Arabidopsis thaliana: one gene and its partner. The protein of the gene in region 2 interacts with the protein of the main gene of each other region in a pairwise test. Each region holds a gene or a part of one and is shown on either strand. Other genes may lie near its edges.

Region 1 (16,624 bases), 960 kb from region 2:
CTGATGATTGATCAGTTGTGATGGGCAAACACTTTTTGGAAATCATTTGTGCTTGTTTTTTATGCAGTTTTCCTATTGTTGAACCTGCTCCGGGTCATACAAAGCTTCAGCTTAGCAGAGAAGGTCTGGAAGCAATTAGCAGAATTACAACTCCTATTTCTGCTGTTGCGGTATGTGACAGTGATGTTTGACTCATTATCAATTCTTCGTATGTTCTTTCTATCTGAACCTGGTTTTCTCGGACCAAGATATTTGTTACTTTGTTTCTCACGATTTGCTTGTTATTTCCTTTGGTGTTGAAATACTAGGTGATTGGCCCATATCGTTCTGGAAAATCATTTCTACTCAATCAGCTTCTTTCTCTTTCTTGTTATGAAGGTGCTTCTTATCTCATATACTCGGGCTCTGCGGTTTACTTACTTTTTGCTACTCAACATTGACTTCCAATATTTTCAAATTCATCAGGTTTTGGTGTTGGACACATGCGTGATACCAAAACAAAAGGTATAGCAATAATGTCTAGAGGACACTACCATCTTTCAACTGCATATATATATTTCTAGCTAATAAAGGTTTAACTTTTTGGTTCGGAATCCACTTCATTGTTGCATACAGGTATTTGGGTCTGGGGAACACCATTAGAGCTGGAGATTGATGGAGTAAAAACTTCCGTAATTTACCTCGACACTGAGGGATTCGAAAGTGTTGGAAAGTCAAATGTTTATGATGACCGGTACCCAGACAGTTGCAACATTTGCACATTTAAACTTTTCTTTGCGGAAGCTCTGAATATCTAATCAATTTCTGTGTAAATATTCAGGATTTTTGCCCTGGCAACGGTTATGAGTTCTGTGCTTATCTATAATCTGCCTGAAACTGTAAGTTGTCCTACCTCTTTGTTTGCTCAGATTGCTTATGCTTCTAGATACATTATACTTATAATCAAAGAGAGTAAATCCTTACAGGGGTTTCTTTATATCAATATCAACTATCAAGTCATTAGTAAAACCAAAGACCAAAGTGTTTTCGAAGACCTAGGTAGTTCAGACCTAGGTAGTTCATATGGTATCAAACAATCCCTTGTGATGTTTAGTTAGAAGTATACAAATATGGATGTGTAACAGAGTAGCTAGTATTTAAAAGAACTTCATCTACAATTTCTCTCTCTGATATGAGCTCTCATCAGATCCGTGAAGCTGATATTTCTCGGCTCTCCTTTGCTGTTGAGCTTGCGGAAGAATTTTATGGAAGGTTTGCCCAATTGTACTCTGCATTTCTGTCTTGTTTAATATGATTGCCTGCCTCTATGAATACTGACTGGGTTCTGTTTGATTGGCTCATGCAACTCAATTGACAGAGTAAAGGTATACCCTAACGGAATGGCTGTTATTCTTGATCCATGGCATCCTTCAAAACTTCGTTTCTGATTTTTATATATCCTGTAGGGTGAAGATGTTGCTTTTGAACCGTCAAAGCTTCTGTGGCTTATCCAGCGTGATTTTCTGCGTAAGTGCATGGTGCTTTTGACTACAACATTCATAATAGTTCCATTTAAACAGTGCTTATATTCTATGTAATCTCTGCCTGTTTTGAAATGCTTTTCTTTCTCTTCTCTGATATAACAAGCAGTATTTTTGTGTGCTCCTGGTCCTGTGTGATCCATTTCAATGTTCCAGTTTTCTCTGTGTTTTATGCAAGTGATCTGGTCATGATTAACACTATTCCAAGTTTCCAACTTTATGCAGAAGGGAAATCGGTGAAGCAAATGGTGGATGAAGCTCTCAGACATGTCCCTAATGAAGATGGTTAGCGCTCCTTTTTGTTCTTCAACTAATGTCTCCTAGACCTTTGTTAATTGTGTTTTCTTGTTTCTTATGTTTTCAGGTAACAAAAATATTGACCAGGTATGTTCTCTTGTGTTCTGCATCGTACAGGTAATCATCATTATTATCTCAGAAATCATTCTTGTTGTCTCCTTTTTCAGGTTAACCAGATTCGGGACTCCTTGGCTATAATGGGTGACAACAGCACAGCCTTTAGCTTACCGCAGGTAAGGCATTTGTGTGTTCTACTTTGCATATTTTCCAGCCTTTCTTTCAGAAAGAAAATACAGAGCATGAAACTTTAATCAAAATGGCTATCTTTGTGCATGAACATTTATGGTTATCTTTGAATATCTTTGCTGAATCATGCGCGAATACAAAACTTTCTTAGTGTGGTTGTGGTGGTTACCTTTAACTTTAAGTCATCCTGAAGTGTGCACAAAATCCTTAGATTTCAGTGCTTGTGTATCCTTGAAGTATAGCTTTTCCAAAGTTCTTGGGAGGAAATTTTATTTTTTCTTCCATGTGGAACATTATGAAATCATTGTCTGATCTGACTCAGACGTGGAATCTTTGTTGCTGCCTTGATAGGGTGGTCTTCGTTTTGATAACTTTGTTCTTGTTTTTGTTATATAGCCTCATCTCATGCGTACGAAGCTGTGTGATCTGAAGGATGAGGACCTGGATTCTACATATGTTGCAAGGCGTGACCAATTGAAAAAGCTCGTTGCTAGTATTATCCGCCCAAAGATAGTGCAGGGGAAAACACTAAACGGGAAGGAATTTATTTCTTTCCTGGAACAGGTGAGTGTCAATTTCTTTTTCTGTATGGTTGTATGCTTTAAATATCTCAAACCATTTATATGACTGAGTGGAAGTGTGTCGTTGAAAGATCAAAAGGAATAAGTGGCTGCTTTCTCTGGTGCTCTTACATACTTTATCAAGTAAATAGACATGTTTTCTCTTCTCATGGATGGCTGTGTTTCCTTGCTACTTTAAGTTATCCAGTTAGCTTGTTCTTAAAATTTGTATAAACAATGGTAGAGAACTTTTTTTAATGTGGTCATTTTGATTCATGTTGTCCTTGATACTTATAGTTTCATACCCTTTGGTGCTATGGTGGTATCCCATTACGTATCAATTTATGAGTGCGTGTTTTTATAAGTGATGTATTTGTTACTAGAAATCTGATGAGCATAAGTACACGTTGTTGATATGTAACACTATTGGCTTATATGATTTCTATAATATGCCTTATATGCTTACGAAATGGTATGTTGATATATTCCAATTCTGATTGCTAGATATTGGATGCGTTAAATAAAGGAGAGATCCCATCAACAGGATCACTAGTTGAGGTTTTCAATAAAGATATTGTTGAGAGATGTGTGAAGCTGTACAATGAGAAGATGGTAAGAGTGCGACTACCTATGTCCGAAGAATCTCTCCAAAGTGCCCATGAAATGGCGCATAATGAAGCTATCAAAGCATTTGATGCACAACATTTTGGCAGACAACATGCAAAGAAATCTGTCGATCAGTTGGATGAACAAATGCAGGAGGTATGAATTCCTATGCTAATATAGAATTTCTATTAAGTGTGGCTTAGTGGATGAAACAAAGGGATGATTCTGAATTTCGTGTTGGCAAATTTGGTAGTCTACGGAAAAATAAGATTTCCAAAATTACTTTCTTATTCATTCTTGTGCACTTGAAATATTGTCCAGGTATATAAGAATTTTGTTCTTGCAAATGAATACCAATCGTCGAAGCTCTGTGAGGCGCTATATACAAGTTGTGAAGATGACATGGACCACTTACAGGCTCTCCGACTCCCTTCCATGGCTAAATTTAATGCAGGTTTTGTGTACTGCAACAAAACGTTTGAGCAGCAATGTGTTGGTCCTTCAAAACAAAATTATGAGCAAAGATTAACTAAGGTAATATATACATGTCTATGTTATGTGATAAGTATTGAACTGTAATTTGATATGAGAACTTGTGTGCAGATGATGGGAAAGTCACGGTCTTTGTTCATCAAAGAATACAATAACCGACTGTTCAACTGGCTGGTTGGGTTCTCTCTTGTAATGGTGGTTGTGGGCCGGTTTATCATAAAATTCATTTTATTAGAAATGGCGGCGTGGATACTTTTCATATTCTTGGAGACATACACAAGGATGTTCTGGACAGCAGAAGCTCTTTATTACAACCCAGTCTGGCATTTCATCGTTGGGACATGGGAAAATGTCGTGTATAGTCCTGTTCTCGACTTGGACAGGTAACAGAAACAAGTCTTGAGCAAACTTCTCTCAATCTCTTTGCTCACCTAAATTTGTTTGTGTTTTTGGTAAATAGATGGGCGATTCCTATAGTCTGCATAATTGCACTTTGTGTGCTATATTGGCGGTGTTATGGAAAGAGGAAACACGGGGCTCGCTGGCTTCTTCCGCTGTACAACAACCAGAAGAATGGCCGGAATAGGGAACGGTCTGAGTAAAAACATGTTCCTCGTCGTTCCCATTATACTTATAGCATCTTCTCGGGCATGCTCGTTGTTTTTATCATCAGAAGCTCTCTGCCCGTTACTACCAATTTTTTGGACGCAGAAGAATGAAAGAGGATGATTGATCGATCCAAGTTGGTTTGATTGTACCATTTACATAGAATGCCTTTGTAATGTTTAACTCTTCATATACATAAATGGTTTTATACTCTCTCAATCACAGCTAATTTGAGCTAACAAACCTTAGAGTCTGTTTTTATTTTGTTTATTTATTCAAAGTAGTTTGTTTATGTTGGTATATTATAAATTTATGAAAGCAGAACCTTCGTGTTGCAATTTTGATTGTTGGATTCATGAATCGTTGTGCAAAGACATATTTTATAAAATCTTCTTCTGTTTTTGCTGTTCTTAGATTTCTCTTTTAATCTATTCTTTAGATTATAAGGCCAATAAAACAGAACAAGCTATAGCTCAAAACAAGGCCCTAAAAACAAAACCATAAATGAAATAGTTAAATTTTAGAAGCGACCAAGTTACATTAGTAGTAGAACAAAAAAAAAACATGAACAAACCACTAGCCAGCTAGCAGCTAAACATTATTACATAGGGAATCGCTATGATATCAATTTTGGGTGACTTTGGGGAATCGCTAACAAGCAGTCCATCGTTCGTATCCTCCATCTTCTCGACATCGGCACGGAATCTATATGTAACCGTATTTGGATGAACGAGAAATATGACTACACATAAGATATCAAGGTCTAAACAAATTCTCATAACAAACGCCCTGATAAGAGAAGTTTTGGTATGATTACGTAAGACAAAAGTAATGTCCAAGCGCATCAAATCTGCTATTTCAAAAAGGATGAACAAGTAGATGACGACGTGTTCCCTTCTCACTGCAAATAGTTTGGATTCCTCATATTGCTTTCTTAAAAAAACACTTAATCTTAGGGAAAGATGAAGTGATCCAGTAGTCAAGTACTTCTTGGACAAAGATTTTCATCCATATCCAGGCGAGTATTAGAAGTAGACTTTGAGGTGACTTAAAAGTTTCCATCGACACAAAACGTAGAAGAGACATGGCTAAAACCCAGTGAATGATGATATAGAAGAGAAAAAAAGATTATGGTGTCACAAGCAATCCAAGAAAGAAAAAAAGAGAGTATTCAAGCTAAAAGATATTAACTTTTCTAAGAAATATTCTTCTGTTTTGATCTAATGGTTTTGAGTAGGGGTTCAAAAGTTAGTCACTATATCCTATGCAAACTAAATCTTTTATGTGGTCAAAAAGAAGCAGCAGCTACACAAATCAGCTTGATCACCAAACTACATGCTTTTATTTCCAAGAAGCAGCTACAATATAGTTTGTTAGGAGTGCCATGAACTCATGAAAGCAGAGACACTACAATCGAGCTCTTTTGTTTTTCTTTTCACTTCAATTGAGCAAATTGAAGATATGATTTTATTACTCAAACTATCTTTTATGTTTTTTAGTTGCAAAATCTTAGAACATGACAGTTAGACCAAGAGCAGTTGATAAATCAAACAAAAAGGCAGGCAGATCCGTGGCTGATGCTGCCGTCACAACCTTCCCATCAGTTACACATCCCTTTTCCATCACAGCCTCACCTCCAGCCACCTTCACCATCACCTTCATCCCTTTCCCACTCGCGCATCGCTTCCCCTGCAAATCCATAAAGAGAAACACCACATGAACAAAATTAGTTAGTTACTAGATTCCACAAGCATGACTTGATATAAACATTGGGATCACCATTGTATCCTCAACATCACATTTTCTATATTCATTACAAGATTAGTGAATACTATTTCCTCCAAGTACATTTTCTGTTTTGACAGAGCTCATAACCTCCCAAAAGAAAAGACAGGTGATGATTTTACCTTAAGAACACCAGTGGCTGCAAGAAGCAATTTCCCCTGTCCAATAGCTGCAAACACCTTATCTTTCTCTGCAAAACTCTTAACCAAAGCAACAGCCTTTTCATTCATCACCAATAGCTCAGGTGATCTCCCTCCTGGAACCACTACACAGTCATAATCATCCACACATATATCATCCCACGATGCAGTCACAAAGAAGTTATGTCCACGCTTCTCTGCAGGAATCTGCCGTCCATCCTCAAGGTCATAAACCGCCGTTGCACACACTTCTCCCTTCTTCTTGTTCGGTGTCACAGCATCCACTTTACAACCTAAAGCTTGTAGTGCTCTAAACGGTACATTGATCCCATAATCTTCTACATAGTCCTAAAAACAGAGTAATGCTCAACGAGTCTGATGATCAAAACAAGATTGATATAACTAAAGATTACGCCTTTTACTCACCCCAATGAGGAAAAGCACAGAAGCTTGCTTCTTCTCCAAGCTACAGACTTTGCCACCAAGAGATTCAAGCAAAAGCTTAATGCCGTGACCAAGCGTTGGCCAACCAACCGTACTCATGAAATTCCCGTCTTTAACGCAATCGGTGATCTCGAACATGCTCTGAATCCCAGGCTGTTGCCACCACTCACCGCCGGAGAGTTCGATCAAAGGCTTTATGCTTTCAAACGCCGTGCATTTCACACCACCGGCGAGGATTCCGGCCGCCATCAGCATAACCTGGCTATGACAGCTAGTGAAGATCAGCTTCTTGGATTCGGCGAATCGCGCCACGAGGTCAACGCATTTCTCGTCGGCGCTGAGAAGCTCCGTGAATCGGCCTCCTGGGATGATGATGACGTCGTAATTCTCCGGAGTGACGTCATCGAAGTTTGCGTTTAAAGTCAACTGGTCAACGACAAGCTCGGTGTATAGCTTTTTTAGAACAGAAAAACAAAATTAAGCGAATTATCACAAAGAAAAAGAAAGTTCGAAATTCGTTTTAGTGGGAAAATTGGAACCTCGAGGCCCAAGAAATCGTGGGCAGACATAACGCAGCGATCGCCGGCGTTGCGGTTGGGTGAAACGCAATGAACGCTAACCCCAAACGATTGGAGAACATAGAGAGGAACAATCGTTTCATAGGCTTCCATGTAGTCTCCACATAAGAGCAACGCTGATTTCTGAACCGCCGATGCCATTTTGGGTAAATGTTTGTGTGCATTGAATAAGACAATATAAGAAGAACTAATCTTATTTATACTGATTATCTATTTGTCATGTGGAACTTTTGAATCCCCCCACCAACTCACTTTCACCTACTTTTTTTGGTGGCTTCAAAGTCCAACTGGTGAAAAGTCCTTATTACAAATATATAAACTAGCTATAACTTTGAATGGTATGTAGTTTCTGCTAACTATTATATGTGGCTGAATTGGTATACTTATGAAATGGACATTGAATTGGTATACTTATGTTGAATAGTTCCATTTTGTATTATTTTACATCCATTTGGTTGGTGTAAAATAATACTTTTGGTAGATTGAATGTGATGTATACAAAACGTCGTGTATGTATTTCATTTAATGCACATGACTCGTGAGTTAACGTTCAGAGTACGGTCTCTCGGAAGCTAGAATCTAGAAAATCTAAAGAATGATATGTAGCCATGTTTACCAAAGCCTGGACTATGGAGAACTTGAGCTACATGAATCTCATGTTTGTGGAGTCAGGATTCTAGAGCATATTGGCTACAAGGAGCATGTATGCATAAGCTAAGCTTGGGCCTCGATAAACCTAGACTATGCATGGGACCCTTGGGTTGTGGAAAGCTTGGATTTAGGAGAGCTTCTGGGATGTGTATGTGTAGAAAAATCCATGTGTATTTTGTAGAAAAATCCATGTGTATTTTGTAGAAAAATTCATGTGTATGATGATCACACTAGTCACTAACACGTGTAATAGACCTCTACAAGATGATCACACTAGTCACTAAACGGTCTATTAGCTTAAAATACTCTTGTAAAATTTTGTTAATCATATGACTTTTTCTAAAATTTGTATATATCATAAGTGCTTTAATTTATTTATTTTGGCAGCAAAACAGGCCTGCTTTAATTTATTAATTTGTACTTCACTTATTATTTTATTTATTTGAAATGGTCCATTATCCATTATTTGCTAATTTTTGGTTTTCCTGATTCTTGCTTGGAAGAGCTTCAAGGCGGAGGACTAGGTCGGGGTGCTCCTTCTCCCCTCAACCATTTGTTGTCTACACGTTGCCACTTGCCACACGTGTTTTTCTCTTAGAAATCGTTATCACAATCTGTTCTTTTGAACTTTAAATCAAAAAATTTGGCTGACAAAAAAAAATTGAAACATTACAAATTGAAATATAGGATACTATTTTCATTCATAACTTTAGGCATCAGTAACACAGAAATTATGAAGGCAAACGATTATTATTTTACATGATTGATTACTAACCAACCACGACTCGTCTATAGCTTTTTCATTATGAATATAGAAATTATACAAGTCTAGCCGGATTTGGGGGTTTTGACGACGATACGGTTTCCATCAACAAAAACTCTGACCCGGTCGCACCTGAAGTCTGCGGTCACCGGACTCCCATCCAAAATCACGGCAGCATTGACGGTGGGGTTCTCTCTCTCTATCACCACGGCCGCATAGTCACCATTTGTTCCCGTAAGCTCCGGCCACGAGTTCTTCCCTGCGATCACGTTACGTTAGATCGGTCAATCATTTACGTTTGGGATTTTGGAGATCAAGAAGCTCATATTTGAGTAAATGAAAACAAAAGAACTAGAAACATCACCATGGATTGACCATATGTAACATAATTAACCTTCTAACAGACTTTAGAAAATGTAATCATATATGTTATAGCTATTGAATTACAATTTTAAATGCCTTGAATCCATATCTAATTGAACATTAGCTAACTATTTACAAACATATAAAACTTTAATTATGAACTATACAATACAAATACAAAAACTTACTAGGACATTCGGTCGACATTTTTCTTCACTCTTGTATATATTTATGTAGTCTTCTGATGTATTTGTATGCTCACCTTTAGAGATTTGAGTCCCATTTATAGAATCGGATACGTACGTTACGTCTTGGTGTCGGTGTCGTCGGTGAGGTTGCAGATTCAAAAGTCAAACTTTGACGAAACCAGCTTTTAATAGCCCCTTCGTTGACATTATTAATTTGTTTGGTAAAAGCTTTGACACTTCTGATTTTGTTTTATAAAGCTTTGAAATGTACATATTTATATCACGATGTTCAAACCTTATCGAGAACAAGATAAGGTTTCTAAGGCTAAGATAATGTCGAAATTTGAAAAACAAACGAAGGTGAAAAATATTTCTAGCGTCGACTGAATTCTGTTTGCATGCAAAAAAACGCTTCTGCCAAATTTGGCACTTAGCCGACAAAAATGACCAAACTGTCCTTCATAAAATTCATGTATAAAAATACTATAATCAATTGTTGTCACACACACAAACAACGATAATGTCAATTATGTTGAATTGTTGACGTACATAAAATTTGACAAACAACATCACAACTTAGTCATATAGTTTTTTTTTTGTTCCCGTTTGATAATCTTGTCATATAGTTAATATTCAATTTGATATGTATATACAGTTTAAAACACGTATATACAGTTCAACTTAGTCATAGTTTTTCTTTTGGTCTGTTTAAGATTGGTAAAAGCACGTATCCGGAATAAAGATTTAGGTATTAATTGGTAACAACTCTATATGCGGGTTTCGAACAAAATTACAAAATCACATATTATATGAGACCAAGTCACCATCACACTTAAATATTTGTGGTTGAGAATTAATTAGTGTTTAGTTTTGTGTATGTTTCACACTGCCCAATGTTACAAACTTGTGTGTGTCAAGAAGACGAGGCCGCCTGAAAACAAAACATGTAAGCCCATTGAAACAGACACCAAAAGACATATGGTCTATAAGCCTCTCCTTGTGCTGGAGCTGGACACAAATTCTTTAAGACCGAGGTTTTCAAACGTAGGCCCAAATAAATAGAACCAAATCCAGTTAGAAGCCCAATAAAATGTTAATTACTTATCTTTGTATTTTAATTTTTGTTCTTTAAAGTTTAGGATTTTTTACATAAGTAAAAGAATTTGTTCTTTAGGCACTTTGAATCCACATTGTCGTTGGTATTGTTATTAGAGTATCTTAATTTTCTATGATTTATTTACGTAGATAATTCATTGAAAAATTAAATGAATTTATGTTTAAATTCTCATCTAATTATTATACAATAGATTGAAAAAGTCACCCTTAGTCAAATTGTTCATATAGTTTTCTTAAATTGTCTAATTAATTACCAAATTAATCCTTGTCTGAAAACTTTTACAAAAGCTAATACAGAACAAATACAAAAAAACGTGTAATCATATCATATAAACACCAGTCGCAGCGTTTCGTAGAAAAATTCGATTTCTCTAAAGCCCTAAAACTAAAACGACTATCCCCAATTCCAAGTTCTAGGGTTTCCATCTTCCCCAATCTGTACGCCATTTTCGATTTCCTTTTTTGTTGTTTACTTTAGCTTCATCGACCATGTTTAGGTTTCAAATTGAGTGTTTGTTCTGTTTCTGTAGAGTATAAATGGCGGATACGCCTTCGAGCCCAGCTGGAGATGGCGGAGAAAGCGGCGGTTCCGTTAGGGAGCAGGATCGATACCTTCCTATAGCTAATATCAGCAGGATCATGAAGAAAGCGTTGCCTCCTAATGGTAAGATTGGAAAAGATGCTAAGGATACAGTTCAGGAATGCGTCTCTGAGTTCATCAGCTTCATCACTAGCGAGTATGCATTCCCAATTTTTCTTCTTTCAATCGAATTTGTTGGAAAATATTTTGCTCTTTGGTGAAAAAAATTGATCATTTGTTGGAACTTTGGGTTTGTGAGAGATAGTTTTCTTAAACTAGCTATGGATTGAGTTTAGCTCAGAGAGTTTTTTGAAGTTTATAGAGCAAAGATTATGTTTTTTTTTTTGTCACAATGTTAATCAACCATTGTTTGGTATGGGTTTACCTTAACCTAGTTCCTTTCCTATAGACCATTTTGCAGATTATTTCACATGCTTCTACTGTGTTATATCTTAACTCTGTCAAATAAATTGTTAGATTTTTTTCTTCATTTAACCATCTTAGGGTATAAAAGCCGTATCTTGATCATGTTTCAAAGATTCTTTTATCTTTAGGATCTGTTTGTTTTTGTTCCTTTTTGTTCATTTAAGGCAAAAGATATGTTTTTCATCATGAAGGAATTGCTTGTGTTGAATGCGTTTTAGGTCTCTGATTGATGAGTTTTATGTTTCTTATAACATCAGATGCCCCCGTTCTTTGTTAGGAAGAAATAAGTTATCATGTATGAAACTATGATTTATCTATTGGTTCAAGATAAGCTTGTCTGATGTTGCGCTTAAGTCTCTTTTGCTGGTCTTATGTTGATTCGTTGACTGTAATGGCCAATTGACTGGTATCTGTTTCTGCTAATCAGGGCCAGTGATAAGTGTCAAAAAGAGAAAAGGAAAACTGTGAATGGTGATGATTTGTTGTGGGCAATGGCAACATTAGGATTTGAGGATTACCTGGAACCTCTAAAGATATACCTAGCGAGGTACAGGGAGGTATGTTGCTTTGACTCCCTAATCATGTGTTCTGAAATCCTTAATATCCTAGTCAAGAGATTAGTAGCTGTGAGTAACATCGAAGCTTGCCATGATAGCAGTTTTACAATCCCTTCAATACGTCTTGTGTAGAATTTTTGAAGCAAGAAAGATAAATCTAGACCAACAGTCAGGATGCATATTAGTAAATTTTGAAAGACATTTATTACTCTCTCTTTTGTGCTTTTGTTGTTAACATACATAATAAAATCAAAATGTTTCTTATTAAGTTGAGACTAATTCGGTTCTTTTCATTCCCTGGGATTGGTTGCTGACACACCACCTGCTGATGCAGTTGGAGGTAAATAAACCACATACTTATTTCTACTTTATATTCCATTCCAGTGTTGCCCATTGGCTTCTTACGTTTTGTTGTGAAATTATGATAGGGTGATAATAAGGGATCAGGAAAGAGTGGAGATGGATCAAATAGAGATGCTGGTGGCGGTGTTTCTGGTGAAGAAATGCCGGTATGATTTTGACAAGTATAGATGATACCAATGCTATACAGCCTATATTGTACTTAGCTCTGACTTCATCATTTTGATTCAATCACAGAGCTGGTAAAAGAAGTTGCAAGTAGTGATTAAGAACAATCGCCAAATGATCAAGTAATTCTTCTCTCTATCACACGGCCTCATGTACACAAATGAAGAGCATAGTCTATATGCATGTAGGTTCATATCCAATCTTCACTTCGTTACAACTGATGATAGTAGGACATGCCTTGTAAACTTGCTGATCATGTTATATTTTGCTGTGTGAATGAACTATGGCTAGTTTCAAAATTGTTTGTCTAACGTGAAATTCTCTAAAACGGTGCAGGGGAAATTAGAGATCAGTGAGTTGTTTATAGTTGAGCTGATCGACAACTATTTCGGGTTTACTCTCAATTTCGGTTATGTTAGTTTGAACGTTTGGTTTATTGTTTCCGGTTTAGTTGGTTGTATTTAAAGATTTCTCTGTTAGATGTTGAGAACACTTGAATGAAGGAAAAATTTGTCCACATCCTGTTGTTATTTTCGATTCACTTTCGGAATTTCATAGCTAATTTATTCTCATTTAATACAAAATCCTTAAATTAAATTTGTACAGTACCTTTGTTTTGGGTATAGACAATTACATTTTAAGTCAGTTGATCTGTATCAAATACTACACTTACAAAATCACAAAGTAAAGGCAGCAATTAATTTTGCTTTGAATTGAAAAGCTTTGAGAGAGTAATCAAATGCTTAAATCACGAAAACTTACAAATTTCAAAATTTTGTCTCTCCATAAATTCTCTTAATAAAGGCTGTTGTTTTTCCAATTTGAAAATTCTATTTTTCAAAATCAAGAACAGGCTATGGAATTTCAAGAAGCTGGTTCATCATCAAGTAGAATCATCTTCCTCTGTTTCCTCTCCTATCTAAAATCTCTTTAGTCTTCAGAAACTGATTATACTTTGTGCAGCAGCAAGAGTAAAGATTGACTTTGTGCAGCCGATGGCACACAAAGAGAGCAAATGGAACCATCGCAAAAGCTTGGCCTGGGACACTGCTTTTTCCACCAACCCTGGTTTCTTCCTATTTCCTATAGATTGGTTTTGTGTAGAAACAAAATGTTAAATTATATGATTCCAATGATTTTACCACTTTGGTTTGTAGGAGTGTTAGATCCTGAAGAATTGTTTGGGAGCTTAAAGATTGACGAGAATGAGATTGAAGTTGAAGTAAATCATAATCACACACTTCCTTCGAAAACCGATGCTCGTCCAAGTTTTGCTTGGGACAATGCTTTTTTTACCGATCCAGGTCTCATCTTTTTACTTCAAAGTTCTTTACCCTACTTGATTAGTCAATTATTTCACACTATTCCACTATTCCTCTCATATATAACAATCAAACCTTATAATTTAGCTTTGACTCTGTATATTCAAGGCTGACATTGTCTATATTTATGCTAAGGTGTTCTTGATGCTGAGGAGTTGTGTCTTGTGAACAATGGTTTCACCAGTAACACGCAGCTTCGTAAGTCTGCTGATACGACGACAACTCAAGGAAGCAGATTTTCTGTGGCCAGCATTGAGTTTGATCTGTTCCACGACCTGAGAGCCTCTTTACGTAATTCACCGAATGTGAAGCAGACAGTAACTCAAGAGACCCATCGTAAGTTACCAGATGGTATAAAGGTAAACGGAAAACCTCAGAAACTGTTTCAATCATTTGCTTTCATCTAAATTTTACTTATTAATTGGTTTTGTTTGTCAAGAGGACTAAAGGATACAAACAGAAAGTTCAACCTTTGAGTCTCATTCCTCAACCAAAAGTGTCTTCTTCTTCTTCTTCTTCTTTTTCTTTATCATCCATCTCCAAATCTTTGACTCCTAGTCAAGCTATACGCGAGAAGAAATGTGTTGCAAGTGAACTCGGTGAGGACATGATTGATGATACATCTTATTCTTTCTTCAAAACGAGAAGAAAATCAAAACATCTTTAAAAGTTGCACATCTTTGTTTTATTTTGAAGAGAGGAATAAGGAAAAACACAAGAATCATGGTTTTGAAGAACAATCTGGATCGAAATCTAACATAAGGTCATCGTATTCAAGTTACGCAGTCAAGGACTTGACATCATCCTACTCTGGTCTGAGGTTACCACTTCCAAAGATGGGATTTTTCGACTCGGTATGCTTCCTAAGAAATTCGTTTTATTGAACCTAGCAAATATCTTGTAATGTAAGATTCCTGAGATGATGAAGAAAAAACAAACTTTTGTTACAGCAGGAGAACGGAGAGAAAGAAAACAGAGAACCAAATGCTCTTGAAGCAAACAGAAGAAGAAGACACAAATCCAAACTTGAGACTTCTTCTACACCAGAAAACCGCAGCATTCTGGGACAACGCAAAACACGAAAGTGAAACGGGCAATGATATATATGTCTTGGGTGCGTTACAAGGCATCGTTTGCATGTTGAGTTGGATAAGTCAACTGTCTTCTTTTCTTTTGGTTGTAGTAGCTGCCTTTTTTTTCCTTTGTTGCTTTAAGAAATAGCCCGAAAAAAAGAATGTTCTACATTTCGGAGCAGAAAACTAACCGAATGAGTTTTTGGTCGGATCATCGGATCGATCAGATATATTTTGAGTTACGAACTGTTATAAAAAAAGCCATAATTTTGTGTTGAGTTTGCAAAATACCTTATAACTTGTTATTTGAGATTGCACCTCCATATATATTAATTCGTAAGAGTATTTATTAAGTAAGCTTTAGTATAAATCCTTTTTTCCTTTAAAGTAAGTTAATGTTCTACTAAATAATAGTAAAGTTGAAGAACCGCTCCGTTTTACACCATGCACGTGTTATCTAACAAAGAAAATATGGTACACCTAATGGCTAATGCAAAGGACAACACAATGAAACTAACTTGACTCTGTGTTATACAAACCCATAGACATCTGCATACATCCTAGTATTTGTATAAATTGGACTCAAATTCCTGAGGACAATCATAGCAAACAATCACATCATCGCAATATACATAAACAAAAGAGGAAGAAAAATGGCAACCGAGTGGTGTAGTTATATTGGTTCGTCTTTCATCCTCAATTTCTACTTTTCATTCTTTGATATTGGTACCGCCCTTTATCGATTTTCTTTAATCTTTTCTCTTCTCGCTCACGTCAAATCGTTTACTATTATTTAATTCTCATGTGTCAGTTTCACATAGCACATTCTTGAGGAAATTAATTATAATTTGGAGCATGCATTGTTTATCGATTGACACAGATTTATGTTTCATCTATTGTTTGAATAACAATGGATTACACAACAAATCCCCAATATATGATATTTGGAGAGCCATATAGTATTAGTAGGGATATATAGTTTGATTCCATAATAACCGTTGGACCTACTGTTTTACCAAATGCAAATGATTTACCAATCTGATGTGGTTGATTTGACCACACACAGGGAAGAACTCATGGCCGGAGCTTTTAGGAACAAATGGAGACTATGCGGCTTCGGTGATAAAAGGAGAGAACTCGAGCCTCAACGTTGTCGTGGTTTCGGATGGAAATTATGTGACTGAAGACCTCAGTTGCTACCGCGTTAGGGTTTGGGTTGACGAAATCCGTATCGTTGTCAGAAACCCAACCGCCGGCTAGACATGTATATGGACCACCATTATGCTATAGCCATGTAGGCGCCTTACTATGAATAAATGAAACTATATATAATGCATGCATAGTTGGTTGGTTGGTCATAATGTAACATCTATTGTTTGCTTGAATGATTCTGGTGTCCGATCATATAACGCATTTGAATGGATGATGTGGTGTATATTTTGGCAGCCCTGGTGATTTAGGAACTAAGCAAAAATAGTATTTTATTTAGCGAAAACGCAAGAGTTGTTTATTACAAAGAGCGATAAGAAAAGAACAACAAAGGCTAAATAAAGATTATGAAAAATTTACAAGAGAATTTGGTCATCATCCGACAAGAACGTAGATAGCATAGATGATCCCAGGGATGTAACCCAGTATCGTCAACAAGAGACAGATCCAGAACTCTACCTGCATTCATTAACACATTAATTATCAATAATCAATTAACGATTCATTCATTAATCATAAAACTAAGTAAAGATGTAATTTAGTGCTTACCCCACAACCATATCGAAGGAAAACG
Region 2 (15,679 bases):
CAAAACATACAACATTAAAACCCTTAAAACGATCTCCGGGACCAGTTTGTATTCAATTACTTTGGCCCATTATTTGATGTGATGGAAGATTGGATACTCACGTTGTACAATTTCAAAGCTGCAAGAGAGGTTATTGGGAGGATCAGGCTCGTGTTGGTGGTGGTCCTCGTCCTCCTCCTCCTCCTCAAGAGGGTCAAGTACAGAGACAGGGCTACATTGTTCCTTGTCTTCCTCTTCTTTATCTTCTTCTTCTTGTCCTCTCACTTTCTCTAAGCTCTCTGTCTCATCGCTATCTTCGTCCTGTTACAACTCATTTAACACACTTTTGGTTTCAACATTTTTTGTCTCTTACTATTTCTGGCGCTGGATCACTACTATTTTTAGCAATTCAAATTTATATCCTCATGGCACTACTTTACGTGCCCATTAAGGGTTTCTCCATGTTACCTATATATATATTTTCGGAACACTACTTTTTTTTACTATGCATTTTTTTTTAAAACTACAACCACAAAGTAGGGTAAATTTAACTTTTGAATTTTGTAAACATACCAATTAATACTTCCCAAAATAGATCCCAACTTTTTGACAAAACATTGAAACTTTTTGGCGAAAGTTAATGACATTCTCAGAGTTTGTAGCTAATAATTGCAAAAGGTTTGGTCTACATTAAGACTTAACCCACTGAAATTAAAAGGAGTAGAAAAATGTGTTTCTGGTAATTTGCCAGAAAATTAATTGGTTTGAAAACTTCGAAGTTGAACTAGCTAGAGAGCGCAATAATCGTCAGTGTGGGGAACGTTGACCAGATGATTGTAAATGACATAAGCACCCCCACCATAACCAAGCTCTACGATAGATTTTCACTCGGAAATAGGGGCATATCCGTCATCTAAAGTAAAACATATTTACGGTACTTCCTGAAAAACTTTCATGATTCAGTCATATCAAACAGACAATTTTCAGCCGGCCATGTGTCTCTGCTCTAATCAGAAGATGTTTTTTCTGTTTTTCCATAGAATGTTTTTTTACTTTCTCTTTTTTACTGTATGGTAATTTATTTAATTATGGATTAGTAGTGGATTTATTTAGAATAATTGAGAAAAAAATTCTAAAAATTTAATTATCTTTTCCAAAAATAAGTTAAATCTTCCAAATGTTTTTTAAATTATACAAGTTGCTTATATATAAAATTTAAGAGTTAGGATATCATTTCGAGTTTAAATGAGAAGTTTAAATTTAAAGTACTTAATTAATTAAAATTTAAACTATTTTTTAGTTTTGTTATAAAATTTAGAGTACATAATTGTCCATAATTTAGACTTTTGATAAAATAAAATAAAAAACAGAGATTGAGACAAACCTCAGTACTGCGTCGCGCCGGAGAAGTGGCCGTCGATGTAAAGTGAGGAGTCTGGTGACCGGAGGAAGAAGGAGTTGTTTGGAGAACAAAATGAAAAGGGCTTTCACAAAAGCATTTATCACTAATCTCCACGATACGCTCTCTCCGGCTACTACTCGTCGGTTCCGACCCGCGTTCCAACGAAACTGCGTTTCCATCAGCGTTATCCAAACGCGGTTTTGTTATACGGTATGTCAGCAGCTTCAAGACAGACCCGAACATACCAAACCCGTTTCCTCTGGTCCGAGCTTTATTGGTCTTAGCCTTCTCTGACTGCTGCTTCTGAATCCTCGCCGCTGCGTCCAAGAGAATTGCGGCGGTTCTCGCCGGTATCTGAAGGAAAACTCGACCGTCACGTATCTTCTTCTTTCCCGGCGACCGGAGCTCAAAGAGTGGAGACTTTCTCGGGTCAGGAGATTTATGAGCTGCGAAGAAACAAGAGTTCTCGCAGGAGAACAAACCAGGAGGAAACGTGGCGACGTTATCGGACTTTCGCTTCTTGACACGCATATCGGAGCAACCCATCTGAGAACGAAGGTTGCCGATGTAATGGTTAAGATGAAAAGGCTCTTGGTCATCTTCAAGAAACTCATGTAAATGCTTCTTCTTCTCCTTCTCAGCCATTGCAGAAAAGTTGAATTAGCTTTTAATGTGTCCCTCTATCTCTCTCAGTGTGTGTGGAATTCAGAATCATGGATATAGTAAAACGAAGGGAAGCTTTTTAGCTCTTTTCTTATAAGAAGAGAGAGAGAGAGAGATTTTGGTGAAGGATGAGGAACAGTTGAAGACAAAGGGTGAGACATTGGATAAAGAAGAGTCAATGCTTTGGATTTGGCTACTTCCTAGCATCTTGAAAAATAGGAAAAAAATAAGAAAAGTAAAGTTTTCGTTTTATATTCTTTCTTTCTTCATATTGGATTATAATTGACGACATGTGTCTTATGCAACGGTAATTTTGTTTGTAAAAAGAAAGTTTAGTTGACATATTATTATCAGAGTGGGCCTCAAAGACTCCTGAAAAATAGAGTTTACGTGTCAAATTTAAAGAGTCTATTTGTAGTCGTGTATATTTTTATTTATCCATTTCTTTTCACCGGTTAGTGAAAACTCGACTGAGCAGTAACTTTTTATGGGCTCATGTACTACTACATTTATGTAAAGCACAATCATTTTCACATGTAAGAACCATACTGTGGTAACGAAGGAACAACAAATAGACCATTTTTATATTACTTGATCGTAATTACAAGTCATTCAATCCTTCTTGCATGATCATTGAAATAACTTCACGTAATTTTTAACTCCTTTATGCATGACATATCTCGCTCGTTTATCGCAAATTTAACTACTATTTAGTGAACGAACATGCATAAGTTTTTTTTACAAGAAACCACGGAAGAAATAAGAGTAGAACTATTACTATATTTATAGATAAAATGTTGCTCTCTCTCGGTATGATGATGGTTCCTAAAATGACAATTCTTGTTGAGGGATGAATGATTTAAATTTGACATCATAACTGGAGAAGAGAACCAGATAAAGCCGGCTTCATGTAGGTTCGGTCCAGCTATTGTAGGAGCCAGGAGGACAAAATTTGGGGGTGCTAGTTTGCATGTGTTAACTCCTATATTTCCATGTGTCTTGCTTGAAGAGTTGAAGTTGTAGTATCGATATGCGAGTCATGATGTTGAAAGACAAGCAAACATATAGATTCAGAGACCAAAAATAATGTTCAGATTCAAAGTAGCGACGAAAAGAAATCTCAGTGGAATAAAGAAAAAATATTCAGTGGATCGTGGACGAATATTGAATATATCATATGCTTCTTAGCAAAAGAAATATATCATATGCTAGCTTTTCTTATTGTTTGGTACTGAAATCACTGGTTTTTTTTAACTATGAAGAAGCTTTTATATGTAATTTATTAGATTTGTGACTAGGTTCTGAAAATATTTTGTGATAATTCAGTTATTTTTTAACTAATTTTTTTAAGAAAACACTTTACACTTTACACTGAAACATTCAATACGAGTTGGTACAGGATTTGGTCTAGAAGAAATATTTTTAAAAGTTGAGTGATTAATTTTGTGTTTATGAATATCTAAGTACTTGGTGAAATGGACTGGACAGTTTAGTGAAATACTTTATTTTTTCTTTAAATAAATGGACTGACGTTAATTGGTTTAGAAAGCAATATGATATGATTTTAGTGATAACAATCTAATTGGCACTTGACGTAATTCCTAATCCGAATATTTGATTTATGATTGACAATTAAGTAAAACAAAACACCCCATGTTCTACATTTAACATTACCGGGCATAGCACGAAATCTGTTGTTGATTATTTATTTTAAGAAATCCCAAATAACAGTGGTCCGAATCTTAACTTACTCATTGGGAAATTTTTAGTATCTGACGATGTTGAAATCAAGAATAGCAATCATACCTATAAATCATGACGAATCAATTGTTTTACACCACTATTGATTTTTTTAAATAGATTTCATGATAATGATGAGGAAAAATAGGACATTATCTATTTCGGCTTCATATAGTTTTCGAGTAATGAACAGGTCCGTATTTTTGTCGTAAAATGTCTATGATTAGTATCACAAATTTATATATTATCTTGACCCTAACAAACACAAAGAAGAGAGTATGATACCAATTTATTAATCAAGGCAACTGTTGGCAACTACTAATCCAACGACTGATTTGTCCTACGTAACACACGTTTATATACTCCATTGACGTAGATTGTCCACACGTGAAAATTTGCTAATATATACACACAAAATATGCATATACATCGAATTATTTTCTCCTTGAAAATTGAATTTATAAAAACGAAAAATATATTTAATTACTCATATTAAAAAAATTGCATTGGGCAGGACAATAAAAGGTTCGCACCATAAATGAGAAAGAAAAGTTGTAGGCTTTACAGCTGTGTACTCCTTTTAATTAAATTCTCAGCATCTGTGGACTTTATGTTTTGTTTTTATAGTATATATAGTGGATAGTTGAAAAAAAAAAAGTATATATAGTGGATATTTTCACTATGGTCCGACCTATAATTTCATGTGGCACTACTGTTTATTTAATGTTTAGCTTTTGGCTTGAATTTAAAAAATTGATTTAAGGAGAGGTTGTAGAATGATATGTTACATATAATTTGTTTTACTGTTGATCCACTCATACATATTTTTCAATTATTGACATATCTGTGTTTTAAATAATACAGTAAGTAGAATATTTTTTCTAGTTGTTGTTGTCTCAATATGAATGATATTTTTTTCTCATAAAAAGCGAAGTCCACTAATTGTCACCACTTATATATAAAAAAAGAATTAATTGCAATTTGGTAATACTATACTGTATAAATAAATAATTTAGCGAAGGAGAGACACTGTTTGTTCTCGGATTCCCCGCTCTCTTAAAGATTTAATATTAACGTAACCAACTTTACATATATGAAAATGAATAAGATTTAAGATGAAGTAAAGCTGCATTAGTTTAGACTATTCTGATTATTCTGATTAGATATTTTGTTAATTAGCTGATCTTTTTTTCCATCTGAGCATGCAGCAGACAAAAAGATTTTGCTGAACGCGTGGAACGTAAAACGACACGGTATATTTCTGTTTTGTCTTTTTAGTTAATTTTATTGTTAGGACAAAACTTTGTATCGACCAATGAATTAAAATATCCCTATTTGTACCATGAAATGTCAATTTATGAATCTGCCGACGGATTTTATTTATGGATGTAAATGTTGCAAGACAACAATCGTATATTAAATTGAAATTTCAAAATGTATGTAGACATGTAGTTACATGCAAGTTTACGTATACATAAAAACTAAAAAAATTATTCATATGGAGAGAAGCAAAAAAAAGAAAAAAACTTAACATTATATCACTTTAGGTAGAAACTTTAATTAATATACGCGGGAGAAAAAATTGACTTTTGAATTAGTATCAACGTTTTTGGAAATTATAATTCGTACATATTGTAAATTATTTATTGAAACTTTTACATTTGCGACAAAAAAAAATTGAAAAACAAATGCAGTTTCGTGACATGATACTATTCATCAAAATAAAATAATACGACTGTCGTTATTAAATGTGTGAGTGGATAAATAAATGTAGATGTACTTTATACATATACATATTGGCTTCCATTCGAGTAATCAACTTTATTTTGAAATTCTCTAGAAATCCACGTTTGCTGGTAATGGGTAACTGTTGATAACCACTGTACGTGTACTTGAACTGCAAAGTGCAAACCTACTATGTTTTTTTTTATTATTCTTTCATTATTGTTTACTTAGTTTTGATTGTGTACTTAATTTCATTAATTCTGTACATGCCTTACTATAATTTATTAAAGGAAATTTAATAAAACAAAATATTTGACTATTTTCTGACTAATTGATTTTTTTTCAAAGTAGTAGATATTTGTAACAAATTAGTAAGAAAATAATGGAATTTTGTACTAATAAATAATATATACAATATTATTCAGCAGACTTACTGTTTCCGCAGGCTTATGTATTTCATCAATGTATCCTTCTTTGCATTATTAATAAAAACAGAGATGAAAGGGAAAAAAATATCTGGTTTGGGACTGAGTCGAATCTAGCTGTAAAATACTAGTACTTCAACGTATAAGCAGCAGTCTGAAATTTTTGAAGTGAGCATAATAAAATGTTAAAATCAGTGAAAAAGTTGGTATGGAAGAGAGAGTTGCCATTAACGTAACAGCCAAATTGTCAATAAATTAGAGGCAGCCAAAGCATAAGGTCATATGACTCATGAGAGTCGTTTAGAATCCTAAGGGCGAAGGCACCTTTAGACGGTGAGTGTACGTGTCCGTATCTAACCAGTTTGATATAAAATAAATTAAGTCTTCAATTTTTGACAATTTGCCCACACAAATTTAGAACTTTTTCTGAAGAGTGCGAGAACATAGACATGAAGACTGAAATGAGTTTCACGTAGTTGGCCAAATTGTTTAACTAAATTGAAGAGGTAAATTTCAAAATACCAATGAGTTTGAAACGATTAAAGAAATTAAAATACCAGAATGGCAAAATAAATAAATAAGAAAGTGGTCAAACTTTGACGTAAATAAAATGAAAATACTTTTGGAAAATCTTATTTTTGAACCACAAGGGATACATTGATACATAACATAATATAACAAAATTATGTGACAAGTTATGTATATTAATATAACACACAGGTATGGGAGAGAAACTGGTTATCAACGTAACAGCAAACTATGTCACTATATCATCTAGTAAAATAATAGGTAATAAAAATTACTATGTATGTCCTGTGATGACTTATGATAACCTGCATTTATATTAGTTTGGTTTATGAACTACTTTCTCAGCTTTCTACGTACTGTCGTTTGGGTGTTGGGTCCATTTTCTACATTGCACATATATGTATTTGATTTCATATGTAAAATGTCATAAGTCTTTTTTCTAGAAAACGAAAATGTCTTAAGTCATTAATTTCAAATAAAACTCTGCCTTTTGGTTAGGACAAGAAACACGAAAGAGATTTGTGATCACAAAAGGTGGAAATATCAAAGCTCATAGTATTTTGTTGCGTTCACTTTTTACGTCCTAAATAATTGATGAACAAAAGCACAAACTTGCATGCCGATCTTGTTTTGATTTTTATTGTCTTGTTTGCATATATACATAAACGTACCAAATACAACAAGACAAAAAGAAAATATGTAAATGAAAAAGCAAGGATAGCGAGTTAAGAAAATATCATATATAAAAGGCAGAGTCTGACGAATTCAATATGCATACCCCGCCCACCAAATAAAGCAATAAAAACGGTCGTTATAACGGGTAAATCACATGTATTATTTCATTGTTGTCTCATGATATTGGATTGACGCTGTTTTTCTAAATGTGCACGCTTTAAGTAAACAAAACCCCAACGTATTTACACTGAAAATAAGAAGAAGAAAATGCATGTTATTAAAGAACGCATTACTACTATGATGAAGGTAGAAGAGTATGATGTCGTATAGATCAAAGATCAAATCTTCTCTATGACGGCATGAATGTCGCCGGTCCATTGACGAGACCAAATAACAAGACCACAAATTCATGTTAGCTTAAAAACGAAGAAGATGTTTTATTATTTTCGTTTACATCCAAATTAAAATACTAGAAAAAGAGTTAGAGAAAAACTAAATTTGTTGAGTATTTGAAAAAGAAACAGTAGTGGCTAATGTATGTTCGGTATAGCTATAAGAAGTGGGCCTGCAGTTGGGTCCAAACGCTATAGTAGAATAGTAGCTTAAGGCAGCGTAACATAGCTAAAAACTGTTGAGGTTTTATAATATGAAATTTCCCGTTTTGTATAGTTCGATGGTTTGATGTATAAACCAGAAAGGATTTATGCAAATAAACAAGTGAAAAGATTCTGCCGTTCCGACAGCTTTTAGATTTCAAAAAACGCACGCGAGAGTCACTTTTCTTCTTTGCCAACGAGAAGAAACTTTACTAAAAAGCCAAAAAAAAATAATAAATTCTTCAAAAGACAGATACAAAACATAATACAGAGAAAGAAAGAATAATCACTGTGATGAGTTTCAGTATCCTAAGAATCTCCCATTTTCCCATATCCCTAAATTTGGTTAATCAAAAATAAGAGAGAACCCACAAATTTTACAAATCAAACCCCCAAAGACTTTAAAAAAACTATAACAATAAAAAAAAAAGCAACCCACACATCTTACATGATGAAAATTTTAAACTAGGTAGGTACATCACACAAAAGAACCCAATTAGTTCTTCTTGAACAACCTTTTTCACACGGTTTCTATGCTCTTGCTCAGCTCCTCCAGCTTAATCATCCTCAACTTCTCGCTTTCTCCAACCAACTGTTCCATCTCCCCAAAAAGAAAAAAGAAACACCATTTATGTATAACAAGCGATGGAAAACTCGGTTTTGTTCCCGCAGTTTCTACATATTAAGAACTTAGTTGAGAACTCGGAACTAACCTCCATGAGTTTTGTGATCAGCTGTACTTTCTCCCTGTTCTTCTCGTTGAATGTATCAAGTGCTTCTTTGTATTCCCTTTCCTGTTTCATTTCATTACCAAAAATCGAATTTTGTTCAGCCTTTCAACAATAGCAAAATAGTTTATTCGGTATGGCATACCCGATTGTTAAAGTTTCTGCCTTTAGGGATTCAGATGGTTGCCATAAACATCAATTCAAAACGCTACTAAGACACAGATGATGCTAAACAAAACATTACCTTCTTTTGAACAGTGGAACCTAGAGGTTTGAGTTCTTTGTTAACACTATCAATCTTCTTACGAACCACAGAAACTTCCTTCCTCATAGGATCTGCCATAGACTCAAGCTCCTGTTACAAGAAACAACACAAGTTCTTACCTTGAAACACAACATAACTCCATCAAAACTCAAATCATAACAACAATTACACTTGGCCAAATCCTAGGATCTGCCATAGACTCAAGCTCCTATACAAGACACAACACAACATAACTCCATCAAAAGAAACAGTACATGTCCAAAGAAAAAGTACAAAAACATTTCTTCTCACTTAGCCAAATCCTAGATCTTGAAAACCCTAAACAGAGATGCGCCAACAAACATCGAATCTCTATATCTTCTAGGGTTTATACAAAATAGAACAACTTCTCAAACATGTTAAAAACTCTAACTTTGAAAAGGAAACAGAGTAAAATTCAAACCTCACGAATAGTAGAGAGACGTTTGGTTTCTTGTTCGACCCGACCCAATTGAGCTTGGATCCGTTCACGAACTTCCATCCTCCTCTTCTCAATCTCATCTTCTTTAGCTCTAAACGCCGAAAGAGCAGAACGAGTCATCTCTTCGTCTTCTCTCGACATATGACTACTAAAACTCAAGCTTCCCGTATGCAGAACCATCTCGTTGCTCTGCTGCTGCGGCTGAGGCTGAGGCTGAGATTGAGGCTGAGGAGGAACAGATTCTACCGTCGTAACAGCTCCAGCTCCAGCTCCGTCGTTGGTTTGACTCTGAGTCATCTTTGACTTCTTCTTCTCCTTGAGGTTTTTGCTGTTCTTCTTCCTTAAACCAAAGCAAGAACTTGAATCCTCAGTGGACTTACGGTGAGGTTCTTCGATTAACCCTATCTTTGCTGATTTGGGGGTGTTTTAAGAGAAAGTTTGAAGCTTTGTTTGCAAAGGAAGGTGTTTTAATGGCGAAGAGACGATTTGCTGTATTCTTAGTGGGTTTCGGTGGTATTTGGTAAAGCAAGCTCTGTTTCTGTATTTAAATAATAATTATATTATTCCCATCGGTTTAATTACACCATTTCACCTAATCTTAATACTTAGTCATTACTTAATTCGATTGTCTTCTGTGTATTTTTGTACCGTCAAGTTTTTTTTATTTTATCAAATGGAAAAATAATGCATCTTTAGGAAAGAAAGAGTTTTTGCCTGTAAAGGAAAAGCAGAAAATGTGCCATTGCATAAAATAAAGAATTTTTTGGCATTGGCGTATATAAATGTAAATGTTACAGACTGTTTATTAAAGTTTAGTAAAGCAACGAAAATGACCTAACTGCCAAGTGCCAACCATATCCAACCAATCCATATGTGTACCATTTATTGTTCTTTAGCATATTGTATATGATTTTCATATCAATGTATTCATAAATATCTCTATCTATATGTGAATCTTTAGTATACCACCTCCACCAGAAACCAAAATATCTTTAAAACACTTTGATTTGGATTAAACAATATACGTCATAGCTGTAGATACAAAAGCAAAAGACGACTTATCAATATCCTCTCTAAGCTTTTATACAATAAGTTCAACAACTTTCCATCTCATCGATACCTTTTTGAATCGAGTCTTTTAGTCCGAATTTTATGGCTAAGAGTTCGACGGTAAATATTATGAATCTGTGGTTACAAACGTTAACTAATATACACATAAAGTTAAACTTGTATAGAGCTTTCAAATCCTGAAAACTTGTAATAGTAGATTAAAGAGTTACTCTTATGCATGGTCGGATAAATTCATAGGACGGAACCTATATTAATCCTGAAAACATGTACATCTGTATTGACCAACATGAAAACCTAATGGATTACTTATATGAACCAATCAATGATCATCAATATTTCAAAATTTTAAATACTAGACTGTTAACTATAAAAATATATAGTATCATTTGTAAGTTACAATCGTATCACCTTTTGGTCTGACAGGATTTGTTTTTAAGGTTTAATATTTTGTCAAGAGAAATTAGTCTTCTGTTCTACATTGACTTGACCAAAGCTATTATTGTCCAAAGACTTTTCTTACAAATGCATTATTGCCGGTCAAAACCTAAATACATTATCACTACACTCTACACGTAAACTAATCGAAATATTGCCCATTAATTAATATCATAATAGGCTAATAGAGTATATACTATTTTCTAGTTGTAAAAATTTAAACCAACGATCTGAATCATACATGGTAAAATTTCCAAAAAATAAACTTAAAAATAGTACAAGATGGAAGTAGTTTCGGCTTTGTATTTTTTGGGCCTTAACAAAGATTCATTGGAAGCAAAGAGATCAATATTTGTTGGGCTATATAATAAGTAGGAAACTTCTGTTGCGTTCGTGTTTATTTTCTCAACATGATAGTCCAATGTTTTGGGCCTAAACAAATACAAAGTAGTTTTAAGTGGCCGTTTATACTAATTCAGTATCTCAATACAGTAGACCTTGAACAAAGGTCCTATTCTTTACCAGTTGCAACTTACAAGGAGATCAATCTTTTTCTTCAAGTTTGTACTGGATTGGGCTTTTCCTGATAAGGTTTAAATCTCTGTACTTGGGCCCAAATGACTACTTTCTCATTGACAGTCTCTATACTTTCAATACCCAAATAAGCTTTATCCATCATATCATGTTTTGGCTCAAATTGGCTCATATGTGAGAGATCTTATTAGAAAACAACTTGTCTAGTAATCTAGTATATTGATTAGAAAACATATAGAGAGAGATTGGCATGACATGCAGGCGAAGTAGTCTTTGCCTTGGATTCTTTTGCGTCTTTGCTAAATATATAATACTAATATTGAAAGATCGCATGTTTGATGCATGTTGACACGTGCGGTCATGCCCTTAGATACCTTGTGTCACCAATGTGTTGTGTATGCTCTCTCACCAGAAAGATCTATTCTTTCCTTTTTCCTTTTCGTTTCTTTTTTTTCATATTACTAAAAATAACATCATGTGTTAGGTTCTGGTCCAAGTTTGGTAGTAGCTAGCCTTATTTAGTATGTGGTTAATATAAACAACCAATAGTGAGCTGCTGTCACACACAAAAAAAAAAACGACCAATAGTGATATATAAATTTTAATTTAAAAATCTTGGCATATGCTTAATGAAGTGTTAGTAACATAATTTTTACGCCTACATTTTTTTTAAAAATATACATGTTTTCAATCTCGCCAATATCATATTTTGGCCAAAAAAGAAAAAACCTTACCAAACAACAAAGGAAAAGAAATTTTGGTATGGAGAGAATAAATAAAGCACGTGGGATCACGTGAGGGCTCGCGTGCCGGCGTGACTTGCCTTTTACTACAAAAAAAAACTCGTAACAAAGAAAAAATTGGGACCCCAAGTGGACGGAGCCTGACCCCTTGTGGTGGTAATAAAGACATAATATACGTTTCTTTCTCATACAACAAAACAAAATAAAAACTATACAATAAAATATTTAAAAATATTGGTCTGACAGATTTGTGTCAGAGAAACGTATTTGTCTTCTCTTGAACATGTGAACTCTCGCCCTCCTTTGCCTCTTCTTCTTATTCTCTGTCCTTTGCTCTATTTCTATATTTTCAGATTTGTTTGTACAAATAACTCGTTTCTCTTCTTAATTAATTAAAACAATTTTCCATCACAATTTCATAAATCAAAGTACGACATTAACTTTTATCGCCGACGTAAGAAAAGAATAAGGAAACTTGTGTTTTCTTACGAAAAATATTGATAGTTATATCATTGCCTCGTTAATACGATACTACTACTACGTACATCAACGATTCGACGGTGGTTCTTTTAACCTATTAATCTTATATGTCAGAAATAGTTTTGTAATTACGATGTATAGTTTTGTGACTATTCAAAATATAGTTGACTTATTATTTTGTTTGCTCGAATGGTTAAATCTGGTCAGTCATGTTCATGTAGATCAGTGCCAATGCATTGTAATGGGTTATCTCCTTACTCGTTGGAGGGTGTATAATTTCAACAATACTGATATTGAAACACGTAGTAATTTTTTAAAATAGAGCATGTAAAATACATATGCCATGAAAAGAACTGGACAATATATATCTTAGTTTGGTATGTAAGAATATTGATGTAATATAATTTTTTTTGTAGACTAACATAATACGGTTATTGAAATTTGAGAAATTTTATAAGAATAATATAGTTAAGATATTATACAGTCAAGAGAAGCTTTACATTAAATAACTTAATCTCTTATGAAATAAAAAAGAAAAAAAATCTATTTACTAAAATTATAAATAACAAAGTTTGATGTTTAATTTTCATCAGATAATATGAAACTTATTAAAATTATAGAAAGATAAACCGTGAAAAGGGAAATGTGATTAAGATTTTGTATTATGTGATTAAAATTTTGTTAAATGAATTGGAGTGTGAGAAAAATGTGAATAAAGATTTTATGAGGGTAAAAAGTGAAAAATAGAGGAAAAGAGAGGGGGTAAGAGTGAGAAAAAGAAGAAGTACTATGAGTAGTCAAATCAAAGATGAATCACAGCCCAAAGAGAAACAAACCCTCACCACCCACTTGGTTACTCACTTTTATGCTTTTTACTTCTGAGCTTTCTCTGACACAGCCCACCTGCTTCTCTTTTCTCATTATTACTTACTTCTCTCCTCTTTACTTCATTTTCTCTTCTTCTATCTTTTTTTTTACCTCAGTCAGAACCGAATGTAAAACCTAAATCAACCCAAAAAGAATGTAATTGTTGTATACAAAATTGAATAGAATACAAAATCTAACCGTTGATAAAAGATGAAAGAAATTATTGGACCAAAAGTTTGCCTACCTTAACCAAATTTGAACCAGAAAATTTTGGTTTCAGTCTATAGTAAAACTGTAAAAGATATAATAACTCATAAGTAGTCGTTTGTTCTATAATTAATACATGACTCCTAAGACTCTTGAGACATCGTTCTACCATTATTTTAAAGCTTCGGGGTTTGAGTTTAGCTAAACATTCTGACATACAATTCATGAATTCATTTTCTTTTAGATTTGTTAAAGAAAACATGAGATACATAGTGATTGAGAAGTGATAGTTAGATGGATGTCAAAAAAAAAAAAAAAAACAGAGAAGTGATAGTTAGATGAAATATTTTCCCACATCTTTGAACTAGCTAATAATGCAATACGTATAGGCGATGACGCCCATGAGACTTTTCCCTTGGATATGCTGAGACTCTGTGGAAGCCGTTCGCTTTAACATTTCCGCAATGACGCAATCCGAGGTCTTCCAACAACCAAAACTTCATACGATACTCTTCAAGCATCCGGGCCTCTCAAAAACCCTCAGGTGGATTAACCTTGCTCTAAGAGTTCTCATAAACAAGGATGCATTTGTCATGTTTACTCAAGACAACATGAACTCGTACCACGCCGTATAAAAGTTTTTGACAAAAATCTTGAATAGCTAACAATTATTTGGCAAAAAAACTTCCAAGAATCTCTGCAACTTTGCTAATAGAGAAATTACTTGAATACTTTTAATATTTATAATTCACTTAACTATCACTTAAAATATAAACATTTACAACCATTTTTTTTAATGTTTCTCAAGCCTGATGATTTTTTTTTTTTTTTGGTAGGAAAAGGGGGAAAATCCGCCAATTTTATTAAAAAGAAAATACGAAATTACATTCGGATAGTTCTTGAAAACGCAGGCCCATTTACATCCTCCAAAACAAAAGAAGCAATAGAATCCGGAACTGAATTAAAAACATACAAACCAAGAGGTAAAGAAAACGCATAGTTAGCTAACCCGTCCGCAAGACGATTGACCTCCCTATACACGTGAGAAATACGGACTAACCAGTCCCTTGATATGAAGCCATAACACAAACGTAGTAGGAAAGATAGAGGATGAGAATCCGGTATCCCTGTCTGTAAAAACCCAACCACGATCTTCGAATCCACTTCCAGCTCAAGGCGTGTTATTCCTTGCTCCCAGACTATGTGTAACCCATAGTAGAGTCCCCACAACTCTGCTAGTGGCGCTGAACAGATTTCGATATTCAAAGCAAAAACCCCAACCCAGTTCTCGTTCCCATCACGCACCGCACCTCCCGCTGCTGCTAACCCGGGATTCTCTCTCGAGGCTCCATCCATGTTCAACTAGCCTGATGAATTTATTAAACTCATGTTTCCATTTTTTTTCCCACCAGTTATGTTAGTTTGATTAATTTTTCAGTCAATTTTGGCATAACGCTTTAAAATAATTATATCAAAATAATATTTTCAGTTTTTCTGCAACAGATTCATTCCACCAAGAATTCAGCCGATTCTACCCGAATTAATATTACCATTTTCGGACTAGATCTATGAACGAAGGTACAAAATTAATCAGTTAAAAAAGAAAATAGAGTGGCAAGTACTACATCTAGTGCCGTATGATATGATAATATAGGAACCTAAACGAATTTTATACTAATTCAAATTTAAAAGTAGTTAGGTTTGTCACAAATGCAAATTACAAATTATATCGACGTAACGCTTACTCATTAAATAATCTAAATTACTTGGTTAAAAGACTAATTAAATATTCTTAACAAGTAGGCTTTTGTTTTCATTATAAAACAAATTAAAAAGCTATACTAATATAAAAATGGAGATTGGTATTTCCAAAGCAGCAAAGACAGAAAAACTGCAGGTTATTATCTCTCCATCTTCATCTTGCAGAGTGGTTCTTTCTGGGTTTTCTGACTTGCTTTTCATTTTTTTATTGATACAAATGTTAAACCAATTATTTTAAATAGTCTTTGAGATTAATGAAGAGAGATTTGTGAACACAATTAATAAAGAGTTATACTATAGTAGTAGTCTTTTTTACTGTATAGTATTTTCTCCCCGCATCTGTCTTGTCTCACTGTCTTTTTCTCGCAAGTCTCTCTATTAAAAACCTCTTTCCC

Evidence for each region.
Region 1: the proteins of AT2G36410 (region 2) and YLS5 interact in a two-hybrid assay, tested with the Arabidopsis thaliana proteins (one large-scale study listed by BioGRID).

Annotation. Positions count from the first base shown.
Region 1 is NC_003071.7:16,227,793-16,244,416, forward strand, and holds YLS5 (Class I glutamine amidotransferase-like superfamily protein), read right to left. Parts: upstream 7,576-16,624; 5' UTR 7,416-7,575; coding exon 7,236-7,415; intron 7,150-7,235; coding exon 6,679-7,149; intron 6,601-6,678; coding exon 6,235-6,600; intron 6,017-6,234; coding exon 5,837-6,016; 3' UTR 5,067-5,836; downstream 1-5,066. Other genes in the region: AT2G38840 (Guanylate-binding family protein), read left to right, coding at 68-170, 309-378, 466-504, 616-733, 821-878, 1,187-1,251, 1,358-1,364, 1,446-1,506 and 8 more; AT2G38870 (Serine protease inhibitor, potato inhibitor I-type family protein), read right to left, coding at 8,754-8,947, 9,240-9,258; NF-YB1 (nuclear factor Y, subunit B1), read left to right, coding at 10,893-11,092, 11,789-11,922, 12,188-12,258, 12,347-12,427, 12,516-12,524; AT2G38890 (uncharacterized protein), read left to right, coding at 13,303-13,333, 13,413-13,514, 13,604-13,750, 13,904-14,127, 14,208-14,367, 14,465-14,622, 14,719-14,856; AT2G38900 (Serine protease inhibitor, potato inhibitor I-type family protein), read left to right, coding at 15,495-15,567, 15,908-16,101; AT2G38905 (Low temperature and salt responsive protein family), read right to left, coding at 16,426-16,509, 16,600-16,624. UniProt on the Arabidopsis thaliana protein: May be involved in oxidative stress response.
Region 2 is NC_003071.7:15,272,845-15,288,523, reverse strand, and holds AT2G36410 (transcriptional activator (DUF662)), read right to left. Parts: upstream 9,756-15,679; 5' UTR 9,484-9,755; coding exon 9,169-9,483; intron 8,817-9,168; coding exon 8,706-8,816; coding exon of another isoform or gene 8,673-8,705; exon of another isoform or gene 8,528-8,672; coding exon 8,447-8,527; intron 8,335-8,446; coding exon 8,254-8,334; 3' UTR 7,798-8,253; downstream 1-7,797. Other genes in the region: TRM27 (nucleolin-like protein), read right to left, coding at 102-300, 1,364-2,026.